5 linked regions of the Macaca fascicularis genome follow. The protein of the gene in region 1 purifies or fractionates together with the protein of each later gene. This does not show direct contact. Links are inferred from orthologs where the notes say so. Each region holds a gene or a part of one and is shown in the gene's direction. Other genes may lie near its edges. The genes, in order: EXOC1, EXOC6B, EXOC7, EXOC8 and EXOC6.

Evidence for each region.
Region 2: the proteins of EXOC1 (region 1) and EXOC6B purify together in Homo sapiens (affinity purification with mass spectrometry; 3 studies listed by BioGRID and IntAct, counting the BioPlex papers as one, with this or other methods). This does not show direct contact. The link is inferred for Macaca fascicularis from reciprocal best matches to the Homo sapiens genes EXOC1 and EXOC6B.
Region 3: the proteins of EXOC1 (region 1) and EXOC7 purify together in Homo sapiens (affinity purification with mass spectrometry; 4 studies listed by BioGRID and IntAct, counting the BioPlex papers as one, with this or other methods). This does not show direct contact. The link is inferred for Macaca fascicularis from reciprocal best matches to the Homo sapiens genes EXOC1 and EXOC7.
Region 4: the proteins of EXOC1 (region 1) and EXOC8 purify together in Homo sapiens (affinity purification with mass spectrometry; 3 studies listed by BioGRID and IntAct, counting the BioPlex papers as one, with this or other methods). This does not show direct contact. The link is inferred for Macaca fascicularis from reciprocal best matches to the Homo sapiens genes EXOC1 and EXOC8.
Region 5: the proteins of EXOC1 (region 1) and EXOC6 purify together in Homo sapiens (affinity purification with mass spectrometry; 4 studies listed by BioGRID and IntAct, counting the BioPlex papers as one, with this or other methods). This does not show direct contact. The link is inferred for Macaca fascicularis from reciprocal best matches to the Homo sapiens genes EXOC1 and EXOC6.

The regions. Positions count from the first base shown.
Region 1 is NC_088379.1:77,989,081-77,994,757, reverse strand, and holds part of EXOC1 (exocyst complex component 1), read left to right. Parts: intron 1-1,005; coding exon 1,006-1,233; intron 1,234-1,436; coding exon 1,437-1,569; intron 1,570-2,201; coding exon 2,202-2,311; intron 2,312-3,125; coding exon 3,126-3,179; intron 3,180-5,677.
Region 2 is NC_088387.1:49,085,629-49,091,837, forward strand, and holds the start of EXOC6B (exocyst complex component 6B), read left to right. Parts: upstream 1-2,145; 5' UTR 2,146-2,250; coding exon 2,251-2,363; intron 2,364-6,209. UniProt on the Homo sapiens protein: Component of the exocyst complex involved in the docking of exocytic vesicles with fusion sites on the plasma membrane.
Region 3 is NC_088390.1:82,516,694-82,522,370, reverse strand, and holds part of EXOC7 (exocyst complex component 7), read left to right. Parts: intron 1-518; coding exon 519-587; intron 588-1,592; coding exon 1,593-1,738; intron 1,739-1,987; coding exon 1,988-2,140; intron 2,141-2,347; coding exon 2,348-2,446; intron 2,447-2,792; coding exon 2,793-2,855; intron 2,856-3,188; coding exon 3,189-3,255; intron 3,256-4,013; coding exon 4,014-4,052; intron 4,053-4,767; coding exon 4,768-4,833; intron 4,834-5,113; coding exon 5,114-5,234; intron 5,235-5,495; coding exon 5,496-5,591; intron 5,592-5,677. UniProt on the Homo sapiens protein: Component of the exocyst complex involved in the docking of exocytic vesicles with fusion sites on the plasma membrane.
Region 4 is NC_088375.1:17,751,382-17,757,532, forward strand, and holds the start of EXOC8 (exocyst complex component 8), read left to right. Parts: upstream 1-2,229; 5' UTR 2,230-2,342; coding exon 2,343-4,520; 3' UTR 4,521-6,151. Other genes in the region: DNA-dependent metalloprotease SPRTN, read right to left, coding at 212-311, 1,478-1,698. UniProt on the Homo sapiens protein: Component of the exocyst complex involved in the docking of exocytic vesicles with fusion sites on the plasma membrane.
Region 5 is NC_088383.1:101,629,405-101,635,654, forward strand, and holds the start of EXOC6 (exocyst complex component 6), read left to right. Parts: upstream 1-2,803; 5' UTR 2,804-3,822; coding exon 3,823-4,327; exon of another isoform or gene 4,328-4,567; intron 4,568-6,250. UniProt on the Homo sapiens protein: Component of the exocyst complex involved in the docking of exocytic vesicles with fusion sites on the plasma membrane.

The DNA.
Region 1 (5,677 bases):
TAGTTAGAATCATTTAGAAAATAGTGATGAGGGGATGATGGTTTGTTACTGCTTTGCCTGGGGAAGAAGAAAAACAGAGTTGCAAATGAAAGAGAAAAGAAAAAAGATGATAGAAGGAGCTATCTATCAGCCATATGCTCTTCTACGTCCTGTTACTAGTTCCCTTCATACTACAGTTATAAATTAGTTTCATGTGTCCTTCGGAGTCTGGTATACCACCGCTGCTTTCTCAACTAAGATATCACATAGGTGATTATGCTCTTATTTAGTGTTTCACATAGATGTTAAGAAAATTTCTAGCTGGTAGAATTGGAGGAAATGTTAGAGATAACATGGCCTAATGCCTCCTAAATGTATAGAAATGAGAATGTGCCATTACTGATGATACATTCTGGCACTGTACTTGTGCATTCTGGAACCTTACTTGTGCAGTCTGTGGAAGTATAAAATCCTAAGGCATGTGTATCAATTTAACATTGATAGGCCGGGCGCGGTGGCTCAAGCCTGTAATCCCAGCACTTTGGGAGGCCGAGACGGGCGGATCACGAGGTCAGGAGATTGAGACCATCCTGGCTGACACGGTGAAACCCCGTCTCTACTTTAAAAATACAAAAAACTAGCCGGGCGTGGTGGCGGGCGCCTGTAGTCCCAGCTGCTCGGGAGGCTGAGGCAGGAGAATGGCGTGAACCCGGGAGGCGGAGCTTGCAGTGAGCTGAGATCCGGCCACTGCACTCCAGCCTGGGCGGCAGAGCGAGGCTCCGTCTCAAAAAAAAAAAAAAAAACATTGATAAAGAGGCAAATGTACCTGCATGACTGCATGAAATACTGTGTAAAACATGGAAGACCATAAAGTGATAAACTAAAGTAGATGTGTAGGTATATATCAATTTTTGTTACTCTACTTTAAAGGAAATTTAGCAACATTTCACCTTTATTCTTTTACACACTTAAGTAACATGAAATGTTGTGTTTTTTGTTTGCTTGTTTTGGTCTTTAACTTTGTAGGCTAACATCCAGTCAATCATGGCATCTGAAAAACAAGTCAACATCTTGATGAAATTGCTAGATGAGGCTCTAAAGGAGGTAGATCAGATTGAATTGAAGCTGAGCAGTTATGAGGAAATGCTCCAAAGTGTAAAAGAACAAATGGATCAGATCTCTGAAAGCAACCACCTAATTCATCTTAGTAACACTAATAATGTAAAACTCCTATCTGAGATAGAGTTCCTTGTGGTAAGTATGATCATAAATTACCACCACCACCAACAAAAAAAACTAGTGATGATATATAAAACCCATTTGTAAACATTTTCTAATTTCCTTATGAGAACAGGATTTAAATTAATTCCAAAGACCTAATGATAGGATTGAGTAGCATCTTGCCTGTAAATTTCCCAGAATTACACATGCAAATGGTATGTTTGCATATATTCTAGAACCACATGGACTTGGCCAAAGGTCATATAAAGGCCCTTCAGGAAGGAGATCTTGCTTCTTCCAGAGGCATTGAGGCCTGCACCAATGCTGCTGATGCCCTTCTGCAGTGCATGAATGTAGCTCTTCGACCAGGTATGTTCATTAGAAATGACAAAAATGTGACCAAGAATCTGAGACTAAGCCTGTAACTTGTTATAAAGATTTTGACAAGAAATACGTGAGACAAGTGGTTTAGGGTTACATTATTAGCTATTCAAGTTTCACTGATTTCCCGCTTATTTCTATTGATACTATGAACTTTTTTACTTCAGTTCCTCCTTCTAGTTGACCTCAATGACTATAGTCAACACCAGGATCTTTATTTAGTACTATCCGCAGAACCCAGCAGAAAGTAGGTGCTTTGGTTAGACCAGAGAGCGTAAGGTTTTTCTAGGCAGGGATTTCAAAACTTGAGTGTCCATCAGAATCCCTAGAGGTCTTGTTAAAAACATAGATTGCCTGGCCCCAGCCCCAGATTCAGCAGATCTGGGCTGAGGCTTTAGAATCCACATTTCTAACAATTCCCAGGCGATGGTGAGGCAAGACCACACTTTGAGAACCACTGTGCAGTCCCATTTTTCTCCTGCTTAATTTTTATCAGGTAAATGAATACACTCATACAACTTAGGGGTTATTCAAAACTTTAGATATGTTTAATGTTCCATTAAACATCAAGGAAATCTTTTTACCCGTTAAACTGGTCACAAAATGTCATTCTGTATCAGGCCATGACATGCTTCTGGCAGTCAAACAGCAACAGCAGCGATTCAGTGATTTGCGAGAGCTTTTTGCCCGGAGACTGGCGAGTCACCTCAACAATGTTTTTGTTCAACAGGTAATTTTATTTTATTATTAAGACGAGCATGTTCCTATAGCTTATTTATGTATTATCTTAACCTTACATTTCCACAAAAAGGTTAATAATGTTTAATTGGGGTTGCAATCAATTCCTTCACATATTTGATTTTAATATTTTGAAATAGGTGCCTCTTTGCTCATAGATGTATTTTGGGCCTCAGCTGCCTCTTTCAGTAGACAGTCTAGTTCCCTTCAGCTGATGCTCTCTGATTCTAGAAATCAAATAACTGTGCATATTAATTGCATATACTACTTAGATATTTTTACTTATAAAAGTAAGTCCAAACTTGTTAGATGTTTACTATTGGACTTGTTTTATTTTTCAATATTTTGAGGTGAGACTTAGGACTTGATTCAGTGTCTTAAATGTTTTGTAAGTTCTATGTACTTAGAACATAGTATGCTTGTTATGCTTGTTAAGAAAATGACTATAGCTCAACCATAAATTTCAGTTGATCTAATCTTCATATAAATGCTTTGCCTATATTTTTATATGGAGAAGGATGTTATAATTAAGAGTGTGGTAATAATATTGTTATTAAAAATATTAAGAGTACCTTTGGGAGATTTGAATAAAAGCCATTTTAATATCTAATGTAATAAATTAGGTTTCTTATTTTTTCATCTCTTTTAAAAGTCCCTTTTATTTTATTAGAGTTACTGAATGAAAAAAAATTGGGGGGATAGCTTGTTCATCAAGAAATACTGCCTGAAAACAGTGGATTTTTACTTTATTTTCACTTTGCAATATTCTAAAACAATTGTATTTACTATATTTTATTTCCAATTAGTTTACTCAGGCCCTCCTTCAACTCTATAACAGGTCCTACTTTCTTTCGGTTCCTGTGAGTACATCAAATTTGGCTCAAGCTTCTCTGATTCTGTTTTGTTTTTTTTTTTTTCTATAGAGTTTGCTAAACTTAACAGCAGCAGAATCTTTACAGATTATAACTTACTGATTTAAGCTACTTGTTAACCACATTCGTAGCCGGTTTTTAATGTCCCATAGTAGAGACTATTTGGGCCAAAAAGGCATTTAATCTCATTCTGCTTGCTTTTCTTTCTGTCATTTTTTCAACTCACTTCATTTATTTAGTAATAAATAGTAGTAGTATTCTTCATTTAGTAATAATAGTAATATTACTCCTTCATTTATTTAGTATTGCCAGGTGGTTGAGGTACATACCAGACATTGACTTGGGATAAATGAGAGACCAGTCCTGTCCTCAGGTAGTTCACAGTCTAGGGAAGGGAGACAAACAAATAATATACTCAAGAGGGATAAATGTTATGGTGGTGAGACTGTGGGAGCATAAAGGAAGACCACCTAACTAAAAGCACAGTAAGGGGAAATCAGAGAAATTCCCTTAACATTCCACTTGACCTGAAAAGTGTCAAGAAAAAAGTAAGCTTAGATGTCACATAGGAACTACTAATTCGTGTTTTTCTTAGGTAATTACTACAATAACATCTATTCCTATACAGTTCCTTAGTTTGTAAAAATGACACTGTTGACAATTATGTTATCCACATTTGTAGATAGTATTGAAAATATCAGCCAATAAACAATAGTCTTTTCTGTACCCTTAACTGTTTGTTGTAACCTGCAGTTATTTATGATTTTGCTTCTTGCCTTGTAAACTAATGGCTTCGTTTAAAATGAATGCTTCCCGTTTCTGAAAAGCTAATATGTGTTATTACATGTGAATGATGCATGTTAAATACCAGAATGCTGTGACAACCTAGGATGTGCCAAAAAAGGTGGAAGAAGATATCCCACGCATAAGAAAGAGATTTTCTTAGTGTTGCATTCAGTGCATCAGGTCACCTAGCAAAATTGTTGAGAAACATGGGTATGTCTATTCCTGGTAGGGGCACAAGCTGGGAAAGTTGATTAAAATAATATGGTACACCTCTTTGGCAATCACAAAATTTTCATTGTATGCTTATTATGTACTCACTGTCTACCATATGTGAGAATAAGAAATAGTTCGTACCCTCAAGATGCTTGTAAGAAGAAGTTAAAACTAATGTACTTACTCTTTGTAAGGAGTTAAGACTAATATACATTAGCAATGTGTGTAATATATTGCTAATTGTAGAACTGTGGACTGTAAGTGCTAAAAAGGTTTAATCAAAAGTGAGTTTATTGAGAATTTAAGGAGTCAGATATGGAAGGAATCGCAGATAAGGTAGGACTTGAACTGAGTCCATGCAATACAGTTTATAGCAAATGTATAGTTACAATATTTACAAATATTATACTGAAGAATCCAGTGAAAAAATCTGTTCACAATATAACAGTAATTTCAAAGCACTGATTCTCAGTCTTTTTAAAATTCACAACTTAGTAAAACTAAAAGAAATAAAATTTGGAGACTGACCAAATCACCAATTTTTTTATTTTTACCAAATAAAGACCTTGAAAAGGAAATACTATTATCCACTTTCATTATCTTTTCGTTTTAAAATGACATTTTGGCACTAAAAGAATAAGAATTTCCTTTCAGATTTTAAAAATTAATATGTTTACCTTTATGAAGGACTCACTTCTTTCATTGTACTTTTTCTTATTGCTATAGGCCAGGAAAAACATCTTGCATTTGGGAATCACTGATTCAGAGCATGCTATCTGTGATGCAGCTTTCCTATTAATACTTCTGTGTTATCTATACTTTAGTGAAACTTGAAGTGTATTTTAATATAAAACTCACTGTAATATAGTATGAGAGTAATGTTGCATAAAGATTAGTTAGCTTCTTTTAGATCTTTCAGATCTTACACACTCAACTTCCATTGAAATTATAGGCTCTTGCCCATAATTTTTACATTTACTGGGAATTTGTGTATCTAGAAAGATCAGGTATGAAAATTTGGCCAGTTACACTAATTAGGATTATGATATTGAAAACAGACAGTCAAATTAAGGTTAATGAAATTCAGGAAATATTTGCATAAAGAATATGTCATTTAAAAAATGGTTTTGGTTGTTTCTTGAAAGATTTATTTTGATAACTACTCTCTTTGCCTTTTGTTTCCCCCTTTGGTTCTACAGAGACCTCATGATTTTATCTACTTTTGCCTTTAGCAACATGATGAGACTGATTATGCACGTAAATTAGAGAAAATGAAAATGAACTGAAATGCACTGAACTAAAAGTACAACCAGGAAAAAACCAAAGTTGTGGAACTTTTTACCATATGCTTAAGTTTAGAAATTTTTCTTTCAACATACGTATACAGAAACAAGCTATAATAAAATAAAACTTGTATTGTAGACCACCAATATTCAATTTCTTTTACAAAATTGTTTCCTTAAGCATATGTCACATTTTTGTAAACA
Region 2 (6,209 bases), on another chromosome or scaffold:
ACAGGCATGAGCTACTGCGCCCAGCCTGCTCAATACATTTTAACCAGTAATGCTGGAACTGAATCAACGGGACTCACATTCTTTCTATTTGGAGGACATAAACATTAGACAGGTCATCTTGTCTTCTTCACTGGAGGTTTCCAATACTGCTTACTCCAGACCTGTTCCCTGTTGCTAAGATGTGTGGCCTCTGGCCTCTGTGGAGGCTCACAAAAACTGCTGACAGTAGCAGAAGCTAGTTTAACCACTACTGAATATATCTCGTCTGTGCAGCAGCCTGGATCCTGTTATCGGTGAAAAACTTGCTGAGTGAGATGCTAAAATGGGTGTCTGAAGGGACCCTCGGTCATGTATTTCAAGAGATCTTTAGAAATATCAAAGGCTCCACACTCTCCCTACCCCTCCTATGTCTGTTTGGAATTGTTTAAACATGAGTAATGAAACAAAACGAGGACAGGCAGAGATTATCTAGAGACAGACAGATTTATCAACTTGCTCTCTTCCTGGCAAATTAGCACTTGTAACCCATTCCCCTTACTAGTGGTTTATTTATTTTTAAAATGTGTTCTTAGGTAATGACTGCCATTTTTACTAAAAAAGTAATGCATGCACAAGGAAAATAATTCCAAGAGTGCAAATGATAGATAATTAAAAATTACCTTCTTCCCACTTCAGACTCCTTCTTTCCAATTTTTTTTCCTGGATGCCATTACTGTTAACAGTTTTTGGGCACCGTTTCAGAAATATTCTACCTATGTAATATTATATATATATGTGTGTGTGTATATATATATCAAAGCATATATATGAGTATTTATTCTTTTAAAAAACAAATGAGGACAGAGTCTATATACTGTTTCATGCCTTGCTTTTTTCTGCTTAACAACTACAACTTGGAGACAGTTTCATGTATGACCATAGAGTCTTTTGTCTTTCTTTTTAATGATTGCATACTAGTCTGTAGTATGGTTGTAGCACAAGTTATTTAGCCTAAACTTCCAGTTTTTTTGTCTCATGACTTTTTTTGTCAGTGGAAACCCTCTTCTACTAGTCACTCTGGTACTAAACCTTGGAGTAATATCTAACCTTTTTGGTATCTAGTAAATCCTGTCAATTCTCCCTTTTTGATGTTTTTCCTATTTGCTCATTCTTTTTCATTCTCATTGCTGCTTCCCTGGTTTAGGCCTTATCATCTCCTATGGCGTTTCCTTATCTCCAAATTCTCTATCTCTGCACATCTTGCACACTTGCCCTTCACCAAATTTCCTAACGCCCACATTTTGATGTGTCACTCCTCTTAAAAACCTTCTGTGTCTTCCCATTCGTTGTGTTATGTAACAACTCAAGCAATGATCAATAAATCTGATTTTTAAATTGTAACTGAGGAGTTCATGAAATGCAGATGCCTGGATCAGAATCTCCAGATGTATGACCGTTAGTCTGTATTAAAAAAAAAAAAAAAAGTTTCCAGGTGCTTCTGTTGCAGTTGGTTGTTGGATCAGTGGAACCATTAGAACAAAGTCCACATTTCTCAGCCCAGTATTTAAGGCTCCTCGCAATTTCTCTCCAACATGCCTTTCCAGACCCATCCCTTACTACTACTTCTTTACACATCAGTGCAAATGAAATTCTTTTCGGCCGTCTGGATTCTCCTCACAACTTCCGGTTATGCCTTTTAACCTCCGAAACTCAGTCTCTTTATGAAACTTTGGCAACCAGAAGAGATCTCTGAACTCCATTCTCTGTACTGGCTCACAGTTCACGGTTTTGAATTCTCCAGCTCCCCGTGTCTCCCCCACTAGATTGTAAGGCTTCTGTCAGACATTAAGTTACTTTATTATTCGCACCTACAGAGTCTTTGCACTTTGTGACAAAGGTGGTAAACAAGAATTTGTAGGCTTAGTGCCACTGCCTGACTTGATCATCACTGTTTACGCAGTGTTGTTAACTGTTTTTAGCTTACAGTGGGCTTTCAACAAGTATTTGCGGATCCAATGTATGAATGCAATGTATGAATGCACGGAATCCAACCTAGCATTTCCCAGAGAACTACAAATCCCAGCGGACATTACGCAGAACGCCGACGGACGCGGTGACGCAAGGGGGCGTGCCGAGCCTGAGGGAGGGGTCGGCCTGCGGGTAGCCAGAGGCTGGGGCGGCTGTGGAGCCTGGGGTGGAAGAGGGAGTGTGGGGCAGCGAAAAGGTGAGCCGAGCTGACGGAGGGGACGCGCTGCGCGGCGCCCCCAGTCTATGGAGCGGGGTAAGATGGCGGAGGCGGAGAGCCTGGAGACAGCGGCAGAGCACGAGCGGATCCTGCGAGAGATCGAGAGCACTGACACGGCCTGCATCGGGCCCACGCTCAGGTACCCCGGGTGCCGGGGCCACCGAGGGGCGGGAACGGGCGGGACGGGGCAGGCTCCTCTGGGTCCGGGCTCCGGCCGGCTGTCTCCATGGCCGGCGCTGGCCTCTCCCTTGGGAGAGACCCTGCGTTCCGGGCGAGGCGGTCTCCCTTCGCAGCCCCGACGCGGGGTCCCTTCGCGGCGCCCCATAGCCCAGTGACTCAGGAGGCTCCCGCTGTCTCCCTCGGGGCTGGAGCAGCCTTCATTCTCCCTCCGAGGCTAGTCCGGCGCTGGGGAACGAGCGGGCGCCCGACCGATGGTGGTGGCTCCCGTCAGATCTTCTCCCTGGGGACATCACCCTTCTCCCTCCGACTCCAACTCCGTCCTGCCCTAGACAGGAGTCCTGCTCTTCAGATAACACAGAATTTCACTCCATGATCTGGTGCTCGAAATCAAAGTCTTGCCTCAGAATCACAGCCACTTCTCAGAAACGAGTCCTTGGAAATCCTAGGCCTGGATGGAAGTTCCCCCAACCCACGCCCCTCTCCTGGGAGCCGCTGCTCCTTTATCCCTGCTTCCTTATTACGAGGACGACCCTCGCCCACGGTGCAGCCTCCTCATCGCTGGGGAAAATTGACCCTGCTGCCGCCTCCAAGTTACCATTTCTTTTTTTTTTTTGCACGCACATCTCCATTTTATTTGGAGATGTCAAAAGAAATCCCGACTTACCTCAACTTATTTAACAAATTTAGGTAGCACTTGTTACATAAAGTGCAAGACGTTGTAAACAGTGATTTTACAAATGCAACTTATTTAAGCCACAAAACAACCGTATTAGGTAGGTTCTATTACTCTCCTTTTACAGATGGGGCGCAGAGAGGTTAAGTGACTTGACCAAGGTCACAGAGAAAATAAAGTAGGGGACTCAGATTGCTATTCGGGTAGCCTGGATCCAGACACTTAACCACTGTTCTGCCTCAGCTGGAGATTACCGGCTACCCGTACTTCCTGTTGATAATTACTCACTAAGCCTAGTTTTGAACTACTTTCCCCCTTCCCCTCATGTTACTGGTGTCCTAGAACGAACTCAGCCTTATCCCTTACTGTTATGCATTCTGATCTTCATGCAGCCAATACATAGATAACTATCTTACCCTCCTTGCACAGTCTTGGGTCACTGCCCCTCCCATCAGAAAAGTTATTACTCATTGCTTGCGTTCTCCTGGCGTGAGTTGACTCAGGAAAGACTAATTGAAGGAGGGCAGGTTGGAAACTACTCCTCCTCTCCACCTGCACAGCTTCCTTCTCCAGGACACATTGTTAGCACATTTCTGCCAGTACCACCCCTGGTCATAACTATGGTAGTTTGCCTTTTGTCTCTTTATTTATTAAAAGTAATAGCAAAAACCGCAATTACTTTTGTACCAACCTAATATTCATTTATTGAGACAGGGTCTCCTTTTGTCTCCTAGGCTGCAGCGCAGTGAGGTGATTGTAGCTCACTGCAGCCTTGACTTCCAGAGTTCAGCTCCTCCCACCTAAGCCTCCTGAGTAGCTGGTCCTACAGCTGTGCACCACCACCACACCTGGCTACGTTTTAAACTTTTTGTGGAGATGGGATTTTGCCATGTTGCCTCGGCTGGTCTCAAACTCTTGGGGTCAAATGATCCTCCCACCTCAGCCTCCCAAAGTGTTGGGATTACAGGCATGAGCCACCGTGCCTGGCCCCTTTGTCCCTTAAAGTGACTTTTAGCTCCCTTTTTTGGACCAGTTCTTCCACACAGTTGCCTGTCTCTCCACCAACCCCCATTGCCTTATGATCAGGACCATTGTGCTTCTCTCAATTCCCATTTTCTTTAGCTCTTAAGGGTCAATGATCCTATATTTTCCTACATTTTCCTGTATACTTAAAATCATCTCTAGATTACTTAAAATACCTAATATAATGGTAAATACCATGTAAATATATGTTATACTGTATTGTTTAGGTAATAATGACAAGACAAATGTCTGTAGCATGTTTAGTACAGATGCAACCATCCTTTTTTTTTTTGAGACAGGGTCTCACTCTGTTGCTCAGGCTGGAGTGCAGTGGCACAATCACTGCAGTCACTGCTCACTGCAGCCTTGACCGCCTGGTGATTCTCCCCTCAGCCTCCTGAGTAGCTGGGACTACAGGCGTGTGCCACCATACCTGGCTAATTTTTAATATTTTATATAGAGATGGGGTTTCACCGTGTTGCCCAGATTGGTCTTAAATTCCTGGGTTCAAGCAATCCACCTGCTTTAGCCTCCCAAAGTGTTGGGATTACAGGTGTGAGCCACTGCACCCGGCCACTGTCCCTTTATTTTTTCTCTTAAAACTTTGATTGAAGAGGTTGGTTGAACCTGCAGATACCGAGGGTCAACTGTATATACATTACGATTTAAATATAAGTTACCCAGTCTCCCTAAAACTTGTTTCATTGATATTATTGAGTTTTTTCCACTGAAAAGTGGGGTTTTGTGTAGGTAGATGGATTAAGAGATCTTTTGCCCTAAGGGGACACTGTAAAAAAAAAAAGTTTGAGACTCAATACCAGTTTTACTTGCTTTTCTTGACTTCCTATATGATTATTACGGGCTTATCATTTTTGGTCTTAACTTTTTTTTCTTTTTTTTTTTAGCAGATTACACTAAATCTTACTATCAGACCCAGGGTTTATTCACTTGAATATCCTATAATACAAGGAGTACCCATGGGCTTTGTCTTTAGTCTAGCTGTCCCTACCCATATTCATAGGGGATGATCTCACCTTTTTTCCTTATCCCGTTCAGAGGCAGCAGCATGCACAGACTTGATGTTTCAGATCCCATGCCTTACTTGGGATGTGCCTCTATTGTCATTATCTCCTGTTTTTCATCACTATCATTAAACAGGTTTGATTAAGGCAGTAGCTTTCTTGCCTTAACTACTCTCAATTGTAAATCTCGAACTTTTCCTCTTCATAGTATGTCTTTCCTCTTTCTTCATCTTTTGAGGTAAAGGCACCAGATTCTTAACTGTTCCTGAGATAGGCTTTTCTAGCTGAAGAGAAACTAACGAACAGAGAAAGTAAATTGAGAGCAGATATTAGATTAGTATATCCATTCCTAAAATACCTGCTCTTCAAAAAAATCCACTTGGCTATATTGCCTAACCAGACTCTTTCCTTTCCCAGCTATTATTTGTGTATCATTACTTGCTTGCTTTCTTTGCTGTGATACTGGATTGTTTTTCCAGTCTTATCTCTTTTTGTTTGAGGAGTCACAGTGACTTGACTTTTTCATTATATTACTATTATTATTTTAGTTTTGAGCTATACATGTAATATTGGTAGATTCCCATGTATCATAAGGATATACCACCTCTTCTTTTTCGTTGTAATTCTGAAAGGCCCAAGCATACCCGCATATAAAGAGGTTGTTGCTTAGCAAACTCTTTTGGGAAACTAGCTATCTCTCTCTTTGTCTTTACCTTAAAAATTATTTTGTTATCTGTGAGTCCTAATTTTGGAAAGAGGCCTATAAGATGTTAAAGCCTGTCTGTCCTGTTTTTAAAATAATGTTGATTCCTGTTTTGTGTTATAAATACTAAAATTTTGATGACAAATCATTTATGAACAATAGCTCCCTGTTTTCATTTTTCAAATCCCATCCCTATATCTCACTTTTCCTTTATATCACTTACTCAGTAGAAGTCATTTCTTCATTTTGTACTCTGGGTAATAGCAATTAACATTCAGTCTAATTGTTGTTTAAGATTTTTTGTTTTCAAATTTAAAATTTAATAGTGAAATACACTGCCATTAAGAAAACAACTATATTGAGATATAATTCATGTATCATACA
Region 3 (5,677 bases), on another chromosome or scaffold:
CTCCCTGGGGCTCCCTCCTCCCTCCCCTGTCTCTGTCCTTGTCTCCTGTGTGAACTCAGAGAAAGCTCTTTGTCTGGGGCAGCCTTTCACGCTCAGACCTGCAGTGGCAGCCCCAGCTGGCCGAGGCCTCCCCTCTTCAGAAAGGGGAGTGTGTGCAGCAGGCGACAGGCAAACTGGGGCTTTGCGCAAATACGGCAAGGTGGGGAACCCCCCTGGGGTCAAGCATCAGCTCTTCAGCCCCTCCTTGGTCCTTCTCCGCTTTCCCTGGGCCTCCAGACTTGGGGAAATGAGCAGCTAAGGACGGTCCTGGGTGCTCACTGAAGTCAGGCTTGAAATGGCTGTTCCCAAGGTGGCTTGAGGTAGAGGAGGGGCTCAGAGCCCTCTCTGATGCCCCCTTCCCCATCCCCATCTGACATCCCCCTCCTGGAGATGAAGGGCTTCTCCCTATACCCCAAGGGGCGGCCTGCCGGGCCCCTGGATAAACACTGCTTGTGTTTATGCGGCCAACATCTCGCCAGGTCACGAGCATGATTTCCGAGTTAAGCACCTGTCCGAGGCCTTGAACGACAAGCACGGGCCACTGGCCGGTGAGTACTGCAGCCCAGCCCGAGGGCAGCTGCTGACACTGCCTTCGCAGCGGTCCCCGGATGGCCTGCTCCTGTCTGGCCCAGCCAGGCCCAGTCTGCTCTGAGGATGGGCCAGGCCTATGCGCCTCTCTCTCCACTCTCTTTTGGGCCTAGGTCTCCTTGCCTCTCTCCAGATGGGAGTGCGTGCCTGGCTCTCAGGCCTGGGCCAAGGGGAGAAGCCGCTGCTACTCAGAAAGCAGGCAGAGAGGGAAGGTGGCTCCCTTGAGGGCAGGGAGCCCTGACGTCCGCCTCCTGCAACAACTCAGAGCTCTGATCCCCTCGGAGCCCATCCCTTGGCACATAGGACCAGGCAGTTCTGCCACTGGTTTTGTCCACAGGCGCCCCCGCTGTGGCCTCCAGTAATAGGATCTGGCCTCCTCCTGGGGCAGCTGGCAACCCCTCCTCTCTGGGACTTACCAGCCTCTTCTCAGATTTTGACCCTATGCCAGCCAGCCTCAGAGGCTGCAGCCTACCGCCCTCTTAGATGTTCCAGAAGCCCTGGCTGGGCTGGTCACTTCCTTCGCAGGCCCCACATTTGCCCACATGGATGACCCCAGTGCCAGCCTCCTTGAGGTGGCACAGCCACCTGCCCACCCTGGGCTGCCCTCTTTCAGGTACAACTCAGAATCCTCAGTCCTGGGGTCAAACTACCTTATCCAGGATGTTGATTCAGTGATCTTCCCTCCTTATCCTTCCGTCCATCACCCTCCTGCCTCTGGTGTCTGATCCCACTGTCTGCGCAGAGCTGAGAATGAAGCCAGAACAAAGGCTGGGCTCAGCTCCTATTGTTCCCCTCGAACCTGGCGGGGCCTGCTGGTGCCCTTGCAGCTTTCTGCCAGAACAGTCAGCCTCTTCCCCATCCGCTGCCGGTCTGGGGTGCAGTCCAGGAGCTGGGGGACCCACACCTCCCCAGCCAGAAGTGTGGCTGGCCCCAGACCAGCAACTCAAGAGTTGTGTCTTCCCCAGGGAGAGATGACATGCTGGACGTGGAGACCGATGCCTACATTCACTGCGTCAGTGCCTTCGTCAAGCTGGCGCAGAGCGAGTACCAGCTGCTGGCAGACATCATCCCCGAGCACCACCAGAAGAAGACCTTCGACTCCCTGATACAGGTCCCGTGCCGCCCTGGGGCTCTGCAGCCAGCCCCAGCGAGAGCTGTCACCACAGACTCTTGCAGCCCTCAACTCCAGCCACCACCACCGCCTTGTGCCCTGTGGGCTGGTCCTGGGTGGACGCTCACCACCTCCCCATCGCCCCACTTCCTGCACACTGGCCCCCTACACCCTACAAGGATCCCCCACCAGCCCGGAGCCAGGTCCCACCACCCCACCCTTCCCTGAACTGTCTCCCTGTCCCCTCAGGATGCCCTGGATGGGCTGATGCTTGAAGGGGAGAACATTGTGTCCGCTGCCCGGAAGGCCATTGTGCGACACGACTTCTCCACGGTGCTCACCGTCTTCCCCATCCTGCGGCACCTCAAGCAGACCAAGCCTGAGTTTGACCAGGTGCTCCAGGTATGTGGACGAGGGGCCCTCGAAAACAGCCAGTAGGCATCCTGCTGCCTGGTGTGGCCGCCCTCATCCCTCCCTGGGAGATCCGCATTCTCCGTCCCACACCTCTGCTCTGAGGATGCATGGAGACAGCTTAGGAAGGGCCCTGGGCGAATGAGCTGCTCACTGAGTGACTGGAGGAGAGCTTGGAACTCCCTTGTGCTTCCTCAGGGCACGGCCGCCAGCACCAAGAATAAGCTGCCTGGCCTCATCACCTCCATGGAGACCATTGGTGCCAAAGCGCTGGAGGACTTCGCGGACAACATCAAGGTCCCTGCCGTCCTCCCCTTTCTCCCTCCCTCCCATCCCAGCACCCACAGTGACCTGGCCCTGGGGGACTCTCAGAGAGCAGGCCTCCAAGAGGGTGCGTTGTCCCAGGGGAAGCCAACTGCGCCGCTGGCCTGTCAGCACCCATGTGCCTTCCTTTCCTTCCTGGGGCCTCCAAGCCCTCTGAGGTGGGAAGGGCCTCTCCCCCTTGGTCCAGCCTGGCTCAGCCTTTGTGCCTGAGAGGTGTCCTAGCACCCGTCTGCAAGGAGGCGGCACCGTGAGCAGGTGCACGGGGGGCGTGGGGTGGGCCGGGGGCTGCTTCAGGGAACCAGAGGCTGTTTTTCCACAGAATGATCCGGACAAGGAGTACAACATGCCAAAGGACGGCACCGTGCACGAGCTCACCAGCAATGTGGGTGCTGCCTGAGGACACCGGGAAGGGGGGAGGAAGGAGGACCCAGGCTCAGGGCCGGGCAGAGTACTGTTGGAAGGGACCCAGTCTGGCCCAGAGCTGCTCGCACCTTTGTGAGCGGTCCTGGGTGGCAGGATGGACAGTGACATGCTTAGTGTCTCTAGCAGACAGGGCCCTTCCTGGTAGACTAGAGTGAAAATGAAGTTTCCAGCCGCGCTCTTCACTGGGCGGATCCCAGCCCTGGGCTGGCCGTGGGCACTCAGAGGGGTCGCTGCGGGAGGCCGTCAGCCGGGCCTGCCACTTGCCCTTCTGCACCGTCTTCTTCCCACCCAGGCCATCCTCTTCTTGCAGCAGCTTTTGGACTTCCAGGAGACGGCAGGTGCCATGCTGGCCTCCCAAGGTACTGGCACTTCCCAGCTGGGCCCCCTGCCCCACTCCCCTTCTTGCCTGGAGACATGGGGTTAGAGGGCAGGGAGCAGTGAGGAGGCGTCTCCAGTCTGTGGAGGGGTTGAGATGTGCCCTGCAGAGGGTCCCTGGGGCTGAGCATCAGGAGAGCGAGGTTTGCCTGCACCTTTCAAGACCAGACACTGGACCTCCGGCCCCTCCCTCAGCCCCTTTGACCGTCGTCGCCCTGGAAGCAGTGTCCTCACTCTGGGAGCAGTGCTGGCTGGTTGGAAGGTGTCCTTTCTGCGCCTGCCCCCCTCCCGAATCCTTCTCTGTGTCTGCCTGCTCTCCTCATCAGGCTCGCTCAGCTGGCCTTCAGAGGGTAGCAAGTGTTTCAGGGCTAGCTGGGTGTCTTCCTGCTGGCCCTGCCCTGGGACTGGAGCTCGGGGTCGGCCTGTGAGCAAGAGCACCTTTCTGGTTCATTCCAAGCACTGAGGTCCCCGGGCCCTCTCCTTCCGTCCCATTTTGGGGGCAGGGAGCCCATGGGCAGCCTCCAGCCTGCAGTTTCCCAGCTCTGTACTTACAGAGCGCTCCCTGGTCCTCAGAGGGTCCTGCCTGCTGTGTCTTGCTGTCTGTGTTCTGGCTGTCGTGGGGAGAGGTCTGCTTGACTCGGGTTGACGTGCCATTTCTAACCTGTTTTTTGCACTTTGCATCTTTCTCCCTCCTTTGTCTGTCCTTCCGTCCCCTCTGTGTGCACTGCCTTTCACTCCGTAGTTCTTGGGGACACATACAATATTCCTTTAGACCCCCGAGGTAAGCAGTGCGGTTCTGCAGCCCCCTTCTGTCCCTCTGAAGCTTGGTGGGTGAGGTTCCCTGGGGACTGACTCTCAGGACCTACTGGGGAGCCCGAGTCAGAGGGGACATGAGTTTTCTCAGGGTGCTCTCAACTCTCTCTGCTCCCTTCAGGGCCACTCTGTCTCTGAGCTTATCCACAGCACCTGCCGGGGCCAGAGCCCTGAATACACCCCCCAGGCTCACCCGGCCTCCCTGCCTTGCTGTCCCTACTCGGCCTTCCACACTGCAGGCCGCAGCTTCCTCTATTCAGGAGGGTCTGGTAGAGGGGGATGTTTGAATGTAGGGGAGAAGGTGCAGAGACTGTGAGGAGCCCTTTCTAAGACTCTGCTGTTGGCAAAAAGAAAAAGGGGGCCTTGTAGAAACCACCCAGGGTGGGTGGGCGCAGGAGGGGATAGGGCACTGGCATCTCACTCTTGTCCTGCCAGCTTTTCTGCTGACATGGACCAGCTCCTTAGCCATGCCACCCCATCATAGAGGGCAGCTCTGGGTTCCAGAAAATCCAGGGCCGGTGCTTCCTGTGGCAGGGGCCGCCCTGTGGCTTAGCAGGTAGCTGGCTCTGCCAGAGGAAGCCCGGGGACCTCAGTGTCCCCTCAGACTGCTGCATGGCATGGGGGAAGGGCCGTTGAGGGTCTTGGCTGCTGCCACTGCAATAACAGGACTTCTCCTCTCACAGAGACCAGCTCTTCGGCCACCAGCTACAGCTCCGAGTTCAGCAAGCGGCTGCTAAGCACCTATATCTGTGAGTGTTCTCCCGGGCAGACCAGCAGCCCTGCCGCCTGCATGCCCTGCCTTTCCCTTCCTTCTGTCTGTGCTCTCTGGCTATTCCCAGGGCCCTCTCCTAAGTGCCATCTGACCTTTGGAACCACAACCTGACCTCTAGTTCAGAGGCTGAGGGGAGCTGGGCTAAGGCCTCCTGAGGCGACGAGGAGCGATGGATAGGAGTGCGTTAGCAGGTCCCGGGATGGGGTCGTTTGGGTCAGACTGCCATGATGGGTGTGGCCCCATTTTTCCCTGTGCAGGTAAAGTACTGGGCAACCTACAGTTGAACTTGCTGAGCAAGTCCAAGGTGTACGAGGACCCAGCTCTGAGCGCCATCTTCCTTCACAACAACTACAATTACATCCTCAAGTCCCTGGAGAAGTAAGTGGCCTGAGGGAGCGAGTCTGCGCCCCTCGGCTGTGCAGCCGTGCCAGCCCCTGCCCCCTGGGCTCCTTCTCTTGTGGATGAGAGGGGAGGGGGTGCTTCAGTCTCCTCCATCCCAGGACCCGGAAGGTGGGAGTGCTGCTGCTGTAGAGCTTGTAGAGTTTGGGGTACAATGGGAGGCCCTCCCAGCATTGCTGCAGTCTTTGGGCGTGAGGAGCCAGTCCTGCCCCTTCTCCTCTGTCCCCTACCCTCACCCAGGTCTGAACTGATCCAGCTGGTGGCAGTGACACAGAAGACTGCTGAGCGCTCCTACCGGGAGCACATTGAGCAGCAGATCCAGACCTACCAGCGCAGGTGAGAGGCTGGGCCTGCCCTGCTCCTGCATAGGCCCCCAGCCGTCTTAGCCCTCACCCCGCCCCGTGCCACCACGCACTCTTCCT
Region 4 (6,151 bases), on another chromosome or scaffold:
CCGCACCCGGCCTCTAGAAGCCTTTTTTTTCCCACTATGAAGCACTATAAAAAACATAAGGTGTTCATTATTATTTGCCCCATAATTCAAGTTTGCACTGAGGGCAAAGAGACTTTTTAAAAGATACATACAGGTGAATTCACAGCAGTCTAAATCAATGACAAGCATTTGTAAATTACTGAGCTAGGAAGCAAGTTTACATGAAAAATACCTCTACAAGATCCTTTCTTGGTCTCAACTTTAAAAGGGGTTCGCTGAGACGGATGGAACACATTCCACCCTTCCCTTCATAGCTGCATATCCCAGCACACCTAGAAAACAATCACCATAAAAATGTGTTACATTGACCAAATACGCCCAAGTCCTTACACATTCTTGGGCAGTGCACACTAAGAGAACTCATTTGGCAGATGGCTTTCTTGAGAGTATACCCCCTTGGTTAGCAGATACTTGCATTTCACCCAATTAATTAGTTACAGCCCCCGGGGGCGCCTCCCGCGATGGCTCCCCGGCCAGGCGAGGAAGGAAAGCAGCGCCCTCTCACCACCCTGCTTGAGAAGGTGGAAGGCTGCAGGCACCTGATAGAGACGCCAGGACAGTACCTGGTGTACAACGGGGACCTAGTGGAATACGATGCGGACCACATGGCCCAACTGCAGCTTCCCTTGCCCTAGCTAGGCTGCAACAGCTCGAAGGCAATCCCATTCTGCTACTCCCAGTCTCCTTACGACAAATCACAGTTTGGTGTTATTAACAAGCAGGTATCTCCAATAGTGTATCTCCAAAATGATAACAGACGCCTGTATAAAGGAGATTGGTACTTTAAACACAATTTAATATGATATCTTAATTTGTTTGTAGGTTGTTTTCTGTCAACTCAAAAACAAGCATGCTGGTGGTATACAACTGTATCTTAAACTTCACCCTATTCACGTGCAGGAGTAGATTATTATTTCAAATAAGGATTTCTCAAATTTAGCATGTAGAAAAAGAATCGTTTTAAAAGCATCACTGAAGATCCCCACTGCAACACACGAGCTCACTAAAGTGGGTTCCTAACGGGAAAGAGAGGAGGGGAACGCACATCCTTTGGAGGTTACTCTGCGTCCTCAGCACTTTCTTAGGGGCAGATTTGGTTGCTTTTCCCTTCAGGGTCCTACAGCACTATCATAAGGCAAATCAGGAACTTGTTATTTTCAAGTTTAGTGAGATTCAAACACAAATCTCTTTTCTCGTTATGGCCCTGAGTCCAACCGTGGCGGTGGGGTCTACACAGCTTTCTTATTTTTCGAGTGGGAGAAAAGGTAAGAAAAAGAGAAATACGCCAAGGCAGGAATTGCCAGGTCCAAAACCAGACTCCCCCCTCATTTAATGCCCCCTGGGACCGTCGGACCAGAGAAAGGAGAGAAGACCAGGATCGGGGGCTGCAGGAGAACTGCCAGTCCCGCCTCTTTCCCCAGCGGGGCTCGGAACTCACAGGGTCATTCGCACGCTCCACTTCACCTCGACGGCCTCCAGCTGGCCCCAGAAGAACTGGTCGTTAAACTGAACAAACAGGGCCTGCAAGTCCGGTGTGGGGTCCACCAACTCCCACGACGCGTCCACTAGCGACAGGGACTCCTGGGCCTGATCGCGCTCCGCCTCCTGCAAGTTCCACTCCTCCTGAAGCCGCAGGGCCAACATCAGGTCATCGTCCATCGTTGCCAGGATCACAGGCGGGATCCGCCGGTGTCAGGCTGGCTCCGAGTTAGGCTGCGACCCCAAGCCGCCTAGCGGAGGACCAGGACTAGCTCCTAGGAGATACCGGCTCTCGAGACGGCCAGTCAATCCCGCGAGAGTTCGCGGAAACTCGCTTAAGAAAGAGAACGTGAACGAGAACGGCGCTTACCCCAAACGCCGAAGCCAAGATTCTAGGGCTTTAAAACAAGCAGTCAGCACGACACCTCCTAGTGGGCGCAGAACCTGGGCTCACAGGGCACCGGCCCTACGAAGCTTTCAGGAAGCTAGTTCCAGCCTTTACTCTTTGCCGGTTATTTCAAACCTCAACGTCACGCTCGGTTCATGCGCAGTACCCAAATTGCTCTCGGCCTCTCCACTCACTTCCGCACTAGCTCCTCCGGCGCATGCGCCTTAACTGATGGCATTCCTGCGCAGGCGCAATGTCTGCGCCTGGCCCCTTGCGCAGGCGCAGTGTCTGACGCTCAGACCCGGCGCAGGCGCACTCGTCTTGTTCCAATTCCTGCTTCCTCAGCCCAGGAGCTCGGCGGGTCTTGGGTGGGTGTAGACAGCCGCGGCGGCTGCGGCGCCGATAGTGACAGTGATTGCGTGAGACCCGGACGGAAATGGCGATGGCGATGTCGGACAGTGGGGCGAGCCGCCTGCGTCGGCAGCTGGAGTCAGGGGGTTTTGAGGCGCGGCTGTACGTGAAGCAGCTCTCGCAGCAGTCGGATGGGGACCGGGACCTCCAGGAGCACCGGCAGCGCATCCAGGCGCTGGCGGAGGAGACGGCGCAGAACCTGAAGCGCAACGTCTACCAGAACTACCGGCAGTTCATAGAGACGGCCCGTGAGATCTCCTACCTGGAGAGCGAGATGTACCAGCTCAGCCACCTGCTGACGGAGCAGAAGAGCAGCCTGGAGAGCATCCCGCTTACGTTGCTGCCTGCCGCAGCTGCCGCCGGAGCCGCTGCCGCGTCTGGCGGGGAGGAGGGAGTCGGTGGGGCGGGGGGCCGAGACCACCTCCGAGGCCAGGCCGGTTTTTTCTCCACCCCCGGTGGCGCCTCCCGCGACGGCTCCGGTCCAGGCGAGGAAGGAAAGCAGCGCACTCTCACCACCCTGCTTGAGAAGGTGGAAGGCTGCAGGCATTTGCTGGAGACGCCGGGACAGTACCTGGTGTACAACGGGGACCTAGTGGAATACGATGCCGACCACATGGCCCAACTGCAGCGGGTGCACGGCTTTCTCATGAACGATTGTTTGTTGGTGGCTACCTGGCTGCCGCAGCGGCGGGGCATGTATCGCTACAACGCTCTCTATTCCCTAGATGGTTTGGCCGTAGTCAATGTCAAGGACAACCCGCCCATGAAGGACATGTTCAAGCTGCTTATGTTCCCCGAGAGCCGTATTTTCCAGGCCGAAAATGCTAAAATCAAACGAGAGTGGCTGGAAGTGCTGGAGGAGACCAAGAGAGCCCTCAGTGAGAAAAGGCGAAGGGAGCAGGAGGAGGCAGCGGCCCCTCGAGGGCCACCCCAAGTGACTTCCAAGGCCACTAACCCATTTGAGGATGACGAAGAAGAAGAGCCAGCTGTTCCTGAAGTAGAGGAAGAGAACGTGGACCTCTCCATGGAATGGATCCAGGAGTTACCTGAAGACCTGGATGTCTGCATTGCGCAGAGGGACTTTGAAGGAGCTGTTGACCTGCTGGATAAATTGAACCATTACCTGGAAGATAAGCCTAGCCCACCTCCTGTAAAAGAACTAAGGGCCAAAGTGGAGGAGCGAGTTCGACAGCTCACTGAGGTGCTGGTTTTCGAACTCTCCCCAGATCGTTCCCTGAGAGGTGGTCCCAAGGCTACTCGCAGAGCAGTTTCGCAACTGATCCGGCTGGGCCAGTGCACGAAGGCCTGTGAGCTATTTTTGAGAAACAGGGCAGCCGCTGTTCATACAGCAATTCGTCAGCTTCGCATTGAAGGCGCCACTTTACTCTATATTCATAAGCTGTGCCATGTCTTCTTTACCAGCCTTCTTGAGACTGCAAGAGAATTTGAGATTGATTTTGCAGGCACTGACAGCGGCTGCTACTCCGCCTTTGTGGTCTGGGCAAGATCAGCCATGGGCATGTTCGTGGATGCTTTCAGCAAGCAGGTGTTTGATAGTAAGGAGAGCCTCTCAACAGCAGCTGAGTGTGTAAAAGTGGCTAAGGAGCATTGCCAGCAACTGGGTGATATCGGACTGGACCTCACCTTCATCATCCATGCCCTTCTGGTGAAAGACATCCAAGGGGCCTTGCACAGTTACAAAGAAATCATCATTGAAGCCACTAAACATCGCAACTCTGAAGAGATGTGGAGAAGGATGAACTTGATGACGCCAGAAGCCCTGGGGAAGCTCAAAGAAGAGATGAAAAGCTGTGGGGTAAGTAACTTTGAGCAGTACACAGGGGATGACTGCTGGGTGAACCTAAGTTACACAGTGGTTGCTTTCACCAAACAGACCATGGGCTTCTTGGAAGAGGCTCTGAAGCTGTATTTCCCAGAGCTGCACATGGTACTTTTGGAGAGCCTGGTGGAAATCATTTTGGTTGCTGTTCAGCATGTGGATTATAGTCTTCGATGTGAGCAGGATCCAGAGAAGAAAGCTTTTATCAGACAGAATGCATCCTTTTTATATGAAACAGTCCTCCCTGTGGTGGAGAAAAGGTTTGAAGAAGGTGTGGGGAAACCTGCCAAGCAACTCCAAGATCTGAGGAATGCATCTAGACTTATTCGTGTGAATCCTGAAAGTACAACATCAGTGGTCTAATGCTTGGGTCTGTTTATATGTATGTATATATAGAGAGAGAGCGCTTATATATTATTTATATTTATATTAAGTTGTATTAGCATACTCTTTATAGTTTCAAACACAACTTGAAAATTAAAAGTGCCCTCTTAGAATACAAAAATCAAAAAGAGGAAAAGAAGTTAAATTAAGCCCAAATAACAAAAATACTGGAATTATTAAAACATATAGTATGCTAGCTATCCTTTTAAATTATGCTGATTCTCTTCTGAAATTATGGTCACACTATACACTATAGCATTTCAGTTTTATCCTTTGATAAAACACTTTTTGGTTTTTTTTTTTTTTTTTTTTTGAGACAGGGTCTCACCCTGTTGCCCAGGCTGGAGTACAGTGGCAACGTCACAACTAAATGCAGCCTTGACCTCCCAGGCCCAGGCAATCCTCTCACCTCAGCCTCCCATGTAGCTGGAACCACAGGCTGGCACCACCATACCCAGCTAATTTTTGTATTTTTTGTAGAGATGGGGTTTTACCATGTTGCCCAGGCTAGTGTTTTCTTTCTTCTTTTTTTTTTCCGCACAGTATATATTATACAGCAGAGTAATAATATCTATAAACATAGAGTTTATGTTGTGAAAATTTTCCCAGTTCACTAAAAGGTTTCCTAAAGGGTACAGTGCAGTATAAAACACCCTGCCTCATTTATTTCTCCTCAAAACGTTGGACTATTTGGGAAAAAGAAAAGCGTTGGGAAAATTGGTTTTAGGGTAAGTTTTAGTCAAAAGAGTTCTTTCTTGAAACTAGCTGGTGTGTGGATTCAGATACTCTGATCCTTACAGAATCCAAGAGGAAGCTTTCATAAAAACAATTCAGCAACTATTTCTAATATTATTTGAATGGCTAATTTTCAGTTGCTAATTAGCAGCTTTGTAATACTTGATTCAGGAGCGTTTACTTGGAAATCCTAAGGACTATAATAAAATTTTTCAACATATTTCTAAATTGCGTGAGTTTCCAACTGTAGCTTTTGCCTTTGTCACATTTTAAAAAATAATAATAGGCAGGACACATTGGGGACTCTGGCAGCAGTTGCCAGGTTTTAGCTGCCACTGCTTCAGTTTAAGATACAGCTGTCCCATCCTCCCCCATTCAGGGTAGGATATATAGTGGCCTAGATGTCATGCAAATGGAAAAAAAGTTTTAACTGAAATATTTATTTAGATTTCAGGGTCTAGATGGATGGGAAATTAGAAAAACATATGCAAATCTCAGTGTTCTCACTATGACTACTCTGAGCAGAGATTCGGTTTTGTTTCTTTTTGTACCAAAGTGAAAACAGGTGAGACAATGTGCCCAAAACAAAGGGAAGATGAGAACCTTCTGTGACTTCTAAAATGTTCCATGCTGCATTTTTCTTGTTTCATTTTTTTAAACATGAATATAATGCTTCAAATTGTTTAGTAAAACAAAATCAGAAATGTGAGCTTCCCAAGGTTTCTAAACTATCGCTTCTATTGTATGTTCTATAACATTCCTTATACTTTGAGAGAAACTATGCTTGCTGTGATCCATTTTGTCTCTAGCTTCTAGTTGTGATTCTTGTCCATAAGCACCAAATTTGATGCCCATGATTTCAAAAGGTCATTTCT
Region 5 (6,250 bases), on another chromosome or scaffold:
TGGGCTGGACAGTGAACCATACAGGCATCGTCCCTGTGCTTGACGTAGGAGCAGTTCCTGGAAATGGAGACAGACTCAGTGATTTGTTCACCACCATGATATGTGCTTCCAAGGATGAGTGAGCACTGCCCCCAAACACAACGAAAGGCGCTTGCCTTAAAAGCACAGGATCCAGAGGGTTCACTAAAGTGGGTCTGGAACCAAGAATCCAACCCAAAAGACACGTTCCTGTTTCCCTCTCTACAAAAGTAGGAAACATATTTCAGGTGGTTTACACCCACCAAGCATGCAGAAAACCCTGATACACAATCAGGTTATTTTTTTTTAATGATTAGAAAAAAGAACATTTATGTGTCTGGTTTTTATTTTTATTTTATCAAAGAGGAGGCTAAAATGCTGGGCTCTCTGGCTTACTAGCAAATGCCTGATAACCCTAGTCACCAAGGCTAATGTTGACTGAGCTCTAGGCTAAACATTACACATATATTACCTTCTTTAATCCTCACACAATTTGGTAAGCTAGGGATTCTTATTGTCCTTAATTCACACTTGAAGAAGCTGAGGCTTAGTCAAGTTAAGTAACACCCCGAGGCCTAGCATCTAGTAAGAGATGAGTTGGAATTTGAACTCAAGTAGTTAAATGCCAGACCAGAGCAGTTGCACTCTACAACCTCATTCTGAGGGAGGCGCTTTCCCAAGACAGGTCATTAGTCTGTAGATAAATGATGCAAAGATAAGTTGCTAATGACTAAGAGTTTATTTACAAGTCAAATCCTTACTTTGCCAATTAGTTTTATACTGGACACAAAATGCATCTCCTGCTCTGCTGGTCTTCCTAGTGTATCTTTCTTCTTCCAGGAGTCCTGAAAAGAGATTTTGGATTGATCTCTGGAAGTCAATATCCACTGCCAAAAAATAATTCCACATGCATCTGCAATCTACCTGTCTGTGCCCTGCTACTCCATAACCTTCTTAGTGCAGACATTAAATCATTCACTCCTAGGGGCTGGGCGTGGTGGCTCATGCTTGTAATCCCAGCACTTCAGGAGGCCGAATCAGGGTGATGACTTGAGGGAAGGAGTGGGAGACCAGCCTGGCCAACATGACGAAACCCCGTCTCTACTAAAAATACAAAAATTAGCTGGACGTGGTGGCTTGCACCTGTAATCCAAGCTACTCAGGAGGCTGAGCAGGAGAATCGCTTGAACCCGGGAGGCAGAGGTTGCAGTGAGCCAAGATCGTGCCACTGCACTCCAGCCTGGGCAACAGAGAGAGACTCCATCTTAAAAAACAAACAAACAAACAAAAACCATTTATCCATTGGATGGGCTTCCCCCACCCCACATTTATATATTTGATATATCTATGTCCATGATTAAAATTAGGGCTGGGTGTGGTGGCTCACGCCTGTAATCCCAACACTTTAGGAGGCCGAGGCCGGCAGATCACCTGAGGTTGGGAGTTTGAGACCAGCCTGACCAACATGGAGAAACCCCGTCTCTACTAAAAATACAAAATTAGCTGGGCGTGGTGGCACGTGCCTGTAATCCCAGCTACTCGGGAGGCTGAGGCAGGAGAAACGCTTGAACCCAGGAAGCGGAGGCTGCAGTTAGCCAAGATCACGCCATTGTTACCCAACCTGGTAACAAAAGCAAAACTCCGTCTCAAAAACACCAACCGAACAAACAAAACAAATGTACAGTTAGTTATTTAGGACATTTAACTTTGAATTCTTAGCTAAAACCTCCCGGTACTCACGGAACTGTCAGAAGTCTCAGAGGGAACCAGCAAAAACTGTTTCAGAAGGAGAAGTGGTAAATGGACTTCCTTCCATGTTCACTTGAATTTCGGGGAAGATACTGCTGCTTATGTTGAAGTAATCTCTCTGCGCAGGTGTTGAAACAGGCCTGGCCTGAGGAGTGCCTAAGCAGGGCTGGTTTCCCAGAGCAGGGGCACACTTGAAGCTGGCTTTGGAATAAAAGATATCAGGACAGGTGAAGAAAAGGCGGAAAGTTCTAGGTAGGGAATGATCAGGAAAGTAATGCTCCAGCTGGAGACACTGGTCAAATAGGAAGCCGGCCTGTGCCACATGCCCTGCTCTCCTCATCTTGCTCGCTATCATAGTTCACTGCAGACTCGAACTCCTGGGCTCAAGTGATCCTCCCACCTCAGCCTCCCAAAGGTCTGGGATTATAGGTGTGAGCCACTGTGCTTGAGCTAAGATAAGTTCTTAAGAGGGGAAAATAACCTTTTGAAAATTGAAACTGAGACATAAAAAAATGAAGACAAACTTTGTCCCCTCCCACAAAGAGAATGAAAAGCTAGGTCTCTCTGCAGGAAATGGAAGACTATCTTAGCTCAATGGATGTGTATAGCCGGAATCCATTCCTCTGAAGATTCCAGATTAATAGGAAGGTGGGCATTAGCAATGTTTTACAGGGCCCTTCCTAAGTTTGGTAGGCAGTGGGTCCCACTGATGCTCACATTCTAATCCCTGGAACCTGTGAATATGTTATTTTTACATGACAAAGGGGATGTTGCATATGTGATTAAAGTTAAGGACCCTGAGATGGAAGATTATCCTGGATTAAATGGTTGGGTCCACTCTAATCATATGGGTCCTTAAAAACTGAGCATCTTTTCTAGCCTAAGTCAGAGTCAGAGGAAGATGTGACCACAGAAGAATGATCAGAGAGATGCTACTAGATTTGAAGATGGATGAAGGGGGCCATGAGCCAAGGAATGTGGGTGGCCTCCAGAAGCTGGAAAAGGCAAAGATATTCTCCTGCAGGGTCTCAGGCAAGGAACACAGACATGCTGACACCTTGATTTTTAGCCCAGTGAGACCTGTGACAGACTTCTAACGTACAGAACTGTAAGATAATATGTCTGAGTCATTTTAAGCTAGTCAATCTGTAGTGATTTGTTATAGCAACAATGGAAAACTCATACACCATAGGACAGCAATATGAGGTAGACACTGCTATTGTCATTTACAGTCATTTAACTGACATAGAACTAGGTTCTTGCCCAATGTTACACAGCTGTCAAGTGATATTTATCCAAGAATTAATGTCTTCAGACACTGGTCTTCAGAGCTCATGCTCTATTATACAAAACCACCTCCCAGGATGTTTGTGGGGAGGAGGCTGGAGGTAGGTTTCGAGTAAAAGCTCACTGAGGGTGAGTGAGTTACACAGCTGGATAAAGAGCTGGTTGACTCAAAGGGAAGCTTTTCAAAGCCCTGGATTAATGTAGAGCAGAAAGTAGTTGTTCCTCAGGCTAGGTTTACATTCTGTTCCTGTTTAGTCTTCCTTCCTCCCTGCTTTGATCATGACAAACTGGTTTACTCAGTGTCCCACAAACATGTCATTAAGCAGGACTTTTTTCTACACTGATACTTTTGTCCAAGCCTCCTTGCCTTCGCTCTCCCACCTCCCTGCTGCTAACCCCCTTTCAAGAGCTCTCAACCCTCCTCAACCCAGCTACCCTGACCTGGGGGCACTGGGATTCAAGGACTTTGGCATGAATCACACATCGCCCTGGGCTTTTTTTTTTTTCCAGTATCTTTGCCATCAAGTGCCTTAATTTCTCGTCATTTCATTTTTCTGTCGCTTATAATTTATTTCCAAGTTGACTGGCCACTGGTGGACTTCTTGCAGGTGAGGACATGAATCCACCTGGAGCGGTCTTCATGGTCAACTGGGATCTTTATTCGTTCCTAAAATAAATCTTACTATCACACGCAATTTTGCTTTTCGTGAGCGCATGTGTTCCTTTCTCTGATTGCCCACAACGCAGAGTACATCAGGCCCTTGTTAAATGTCCCCGTGGCTCTTATTACAGAGGCAGGGTGATGATCTGAGTGTCCACCTCGCTGACTACTACGGTATCCCCAGCGTGTGGCACAGGGTGTGGCACGCACAGAAGACAAGAATATATGTTAAAGCCCAAAGGCCGGGACTAGACGCCCAGGAGGGGCTGGCCGCAAGGGAGAGCAGGAGGCCAGCTGGGTACCCGGCAGCCGCCCGCAGCCCCCACTCACTCCCGCAGGTGCGGGGGCGGGAGCCGGGTAGCGCGCCTCCTGCCCGGCGTTCCGCGCGCCCCTCAGCCGCCGACTCTCGCGCCCCGCCCCCGCCCCGCCCCTCCGCGCTCGCGCCACCTGGCGCTCGCCCCCGTCGTTCCCGCGGCGCCGCGCCTCTCCGGTTCCTCAGCTTCCAGCCAAAATGGCGGAGAGCAGCGAGGGTCTGGGCACCGTCCCCGAGCACGAGCGGATCTTGCAGGAGATCGAGAGCACCGACACCGCCTGCGTGGGGCCCACCCTCCGGTAAAGATCTCATCCCCCAAGGACTTCGGCTCCCCGCCCTGCGCCGGCTGCTCCTCAGGAGCCGGGCGGGGCGTCCGCCGCCGGCCGCGCGCGAAGCTCCCCGACAGGTGGTGCGCGCGGGGGCGGACGGGGGCGCTCGCGGGTGGCGGAACTCTAGCCCGGACCCGGGCGGGACCGAGAAGGCGGCTGCACCTGTCGGCGCGGCCTGCCTCCGCCTCTGGAGCTGTCACCCCGCAGCCGGTGGGTGTGGCTGCCGCAGCGTCTCTAACCCCGGGCGCCGCGGTGCGGCCCCGCGTTCTTCTCCTGGCTGCGGCCCCAGGGCCCGAGGACACTCCTGGGCCCTGGCCCCGTCTCGCTCGTGGCAGGACTGAGGGCTGCTCGGCCGCGGGCGTGCCAGGCTAGGGTCGACAGCCGGCAGTCGGCGTGTCGGAGGTGGCAGGTCGCGCGCGGGTGGAAAGCCTGGTGCGCCAGGCTGCCACGGGCGTGGGAGAATTGAAATTGAGCGGGAGACGCCGGCCCCTTCCCCCTGCTCCCCCGCGCGGCCGGAGTGGGCGAGAAGAGCGCGTGGGCTGGAGGGGAGGAGCTGCTTGCTGCTTGGGAACGCCCTAGGGTGACCCTGCACTCGCGGGATCTAAGCTGCTTTGGAGGCAGAACAGCTTTTACTTATTTACAAACATTTCATTAAAATTGCATTAATTGTTCCGGTTATTTTAAATCGAGTTCCTCCTCATTCATTTTAAGAGTAGTACTAGGTAATGCATATTCCATGCCAGACTGAATGAATACCTGCTGTTCCGATAGAATATTATTAGCCAGGCACCGTAATGAGCCATGGGTTAGGTTAGGCACTGTCTTCAAGAATAAGTTCCTTTTACATATAAGGTTTCATCTTTTGGAGTGATGATATGATAAATGAAGTTATGATTCACTTACGGAACTTGAGACTGATTATGCTTTATCATTAGTATTTATTCGGAATACTCTTCCTAGAAATAGAGCGCTGTACAGTTTGTGAACCGGTGAATGTAGTGTAAATTGAAGCCAGTTCAAGTTATGTAAATACACCTTGCCCTTAAGAGTCAGGAGGCCTGGGTTCTTGTTTTGCCCTAGTCCTGCCACTGATGAAATGTGCAGTCATGGAAAACAATTATTTAACCTCTCTGGATCTCGGTTTCGTTGTTTGTAGAATGGGGAGGGGAGAGTATTCAGATGTCCAGGAAGCTCAGAACATTAGGGACCTTGCCTATTTGTTCACTGCTGTATCCCTAAGACCAAGCATGTGGTAGGAATGTTACAAATTTTTGTTACATAAAGTTTCTGCTATGATATGATAATGCATAATTAGTGCATTTCCTTAATTTTCCAACATTATTATGTCTTTTAATAAACTATACTTGGTAATGAAAGAAGTAAGATTAAAAGGAAGCTTTGTTTTCATCACTGCATCTTGCAACAGTGCAGTGCGTGATAAAGTTACTAGAGTAGTTTATTTGTGAAGATAGTACTGGTTATGAAAGAGGTGCTTCATCTTGGGAAAATGTGCTAGGTAGTGTCCTTGAAAAAAGATGAAATTAACTTAGAAGAACATTTTGAGATATATTGAGAGATTTTTGGGACACTCAGGAACAGAGTATTTGTATTCATAGTGTTATTCCGTTCTCTTTTGTTGGGCAGTTGTTTCAACTGGCTCATTTTGTTTGAACCCACTCTCTTTAGCAAACTCTAGTGACTCACACTTATCCCATATATATGTATATTTATGTCTCATTTATAAGCAGACGCTTTTTGCACACATATAGAGGGTACTGCTAGCAGTCTTTTCTCTTGAACATTGTTTAAGCTACTACTGTTTTTTTCCCTGTATTTTTCAGGTTTCACTAAGTGAAGTGTTAATACTGCATTTTAAAAACCATTTATTATGGA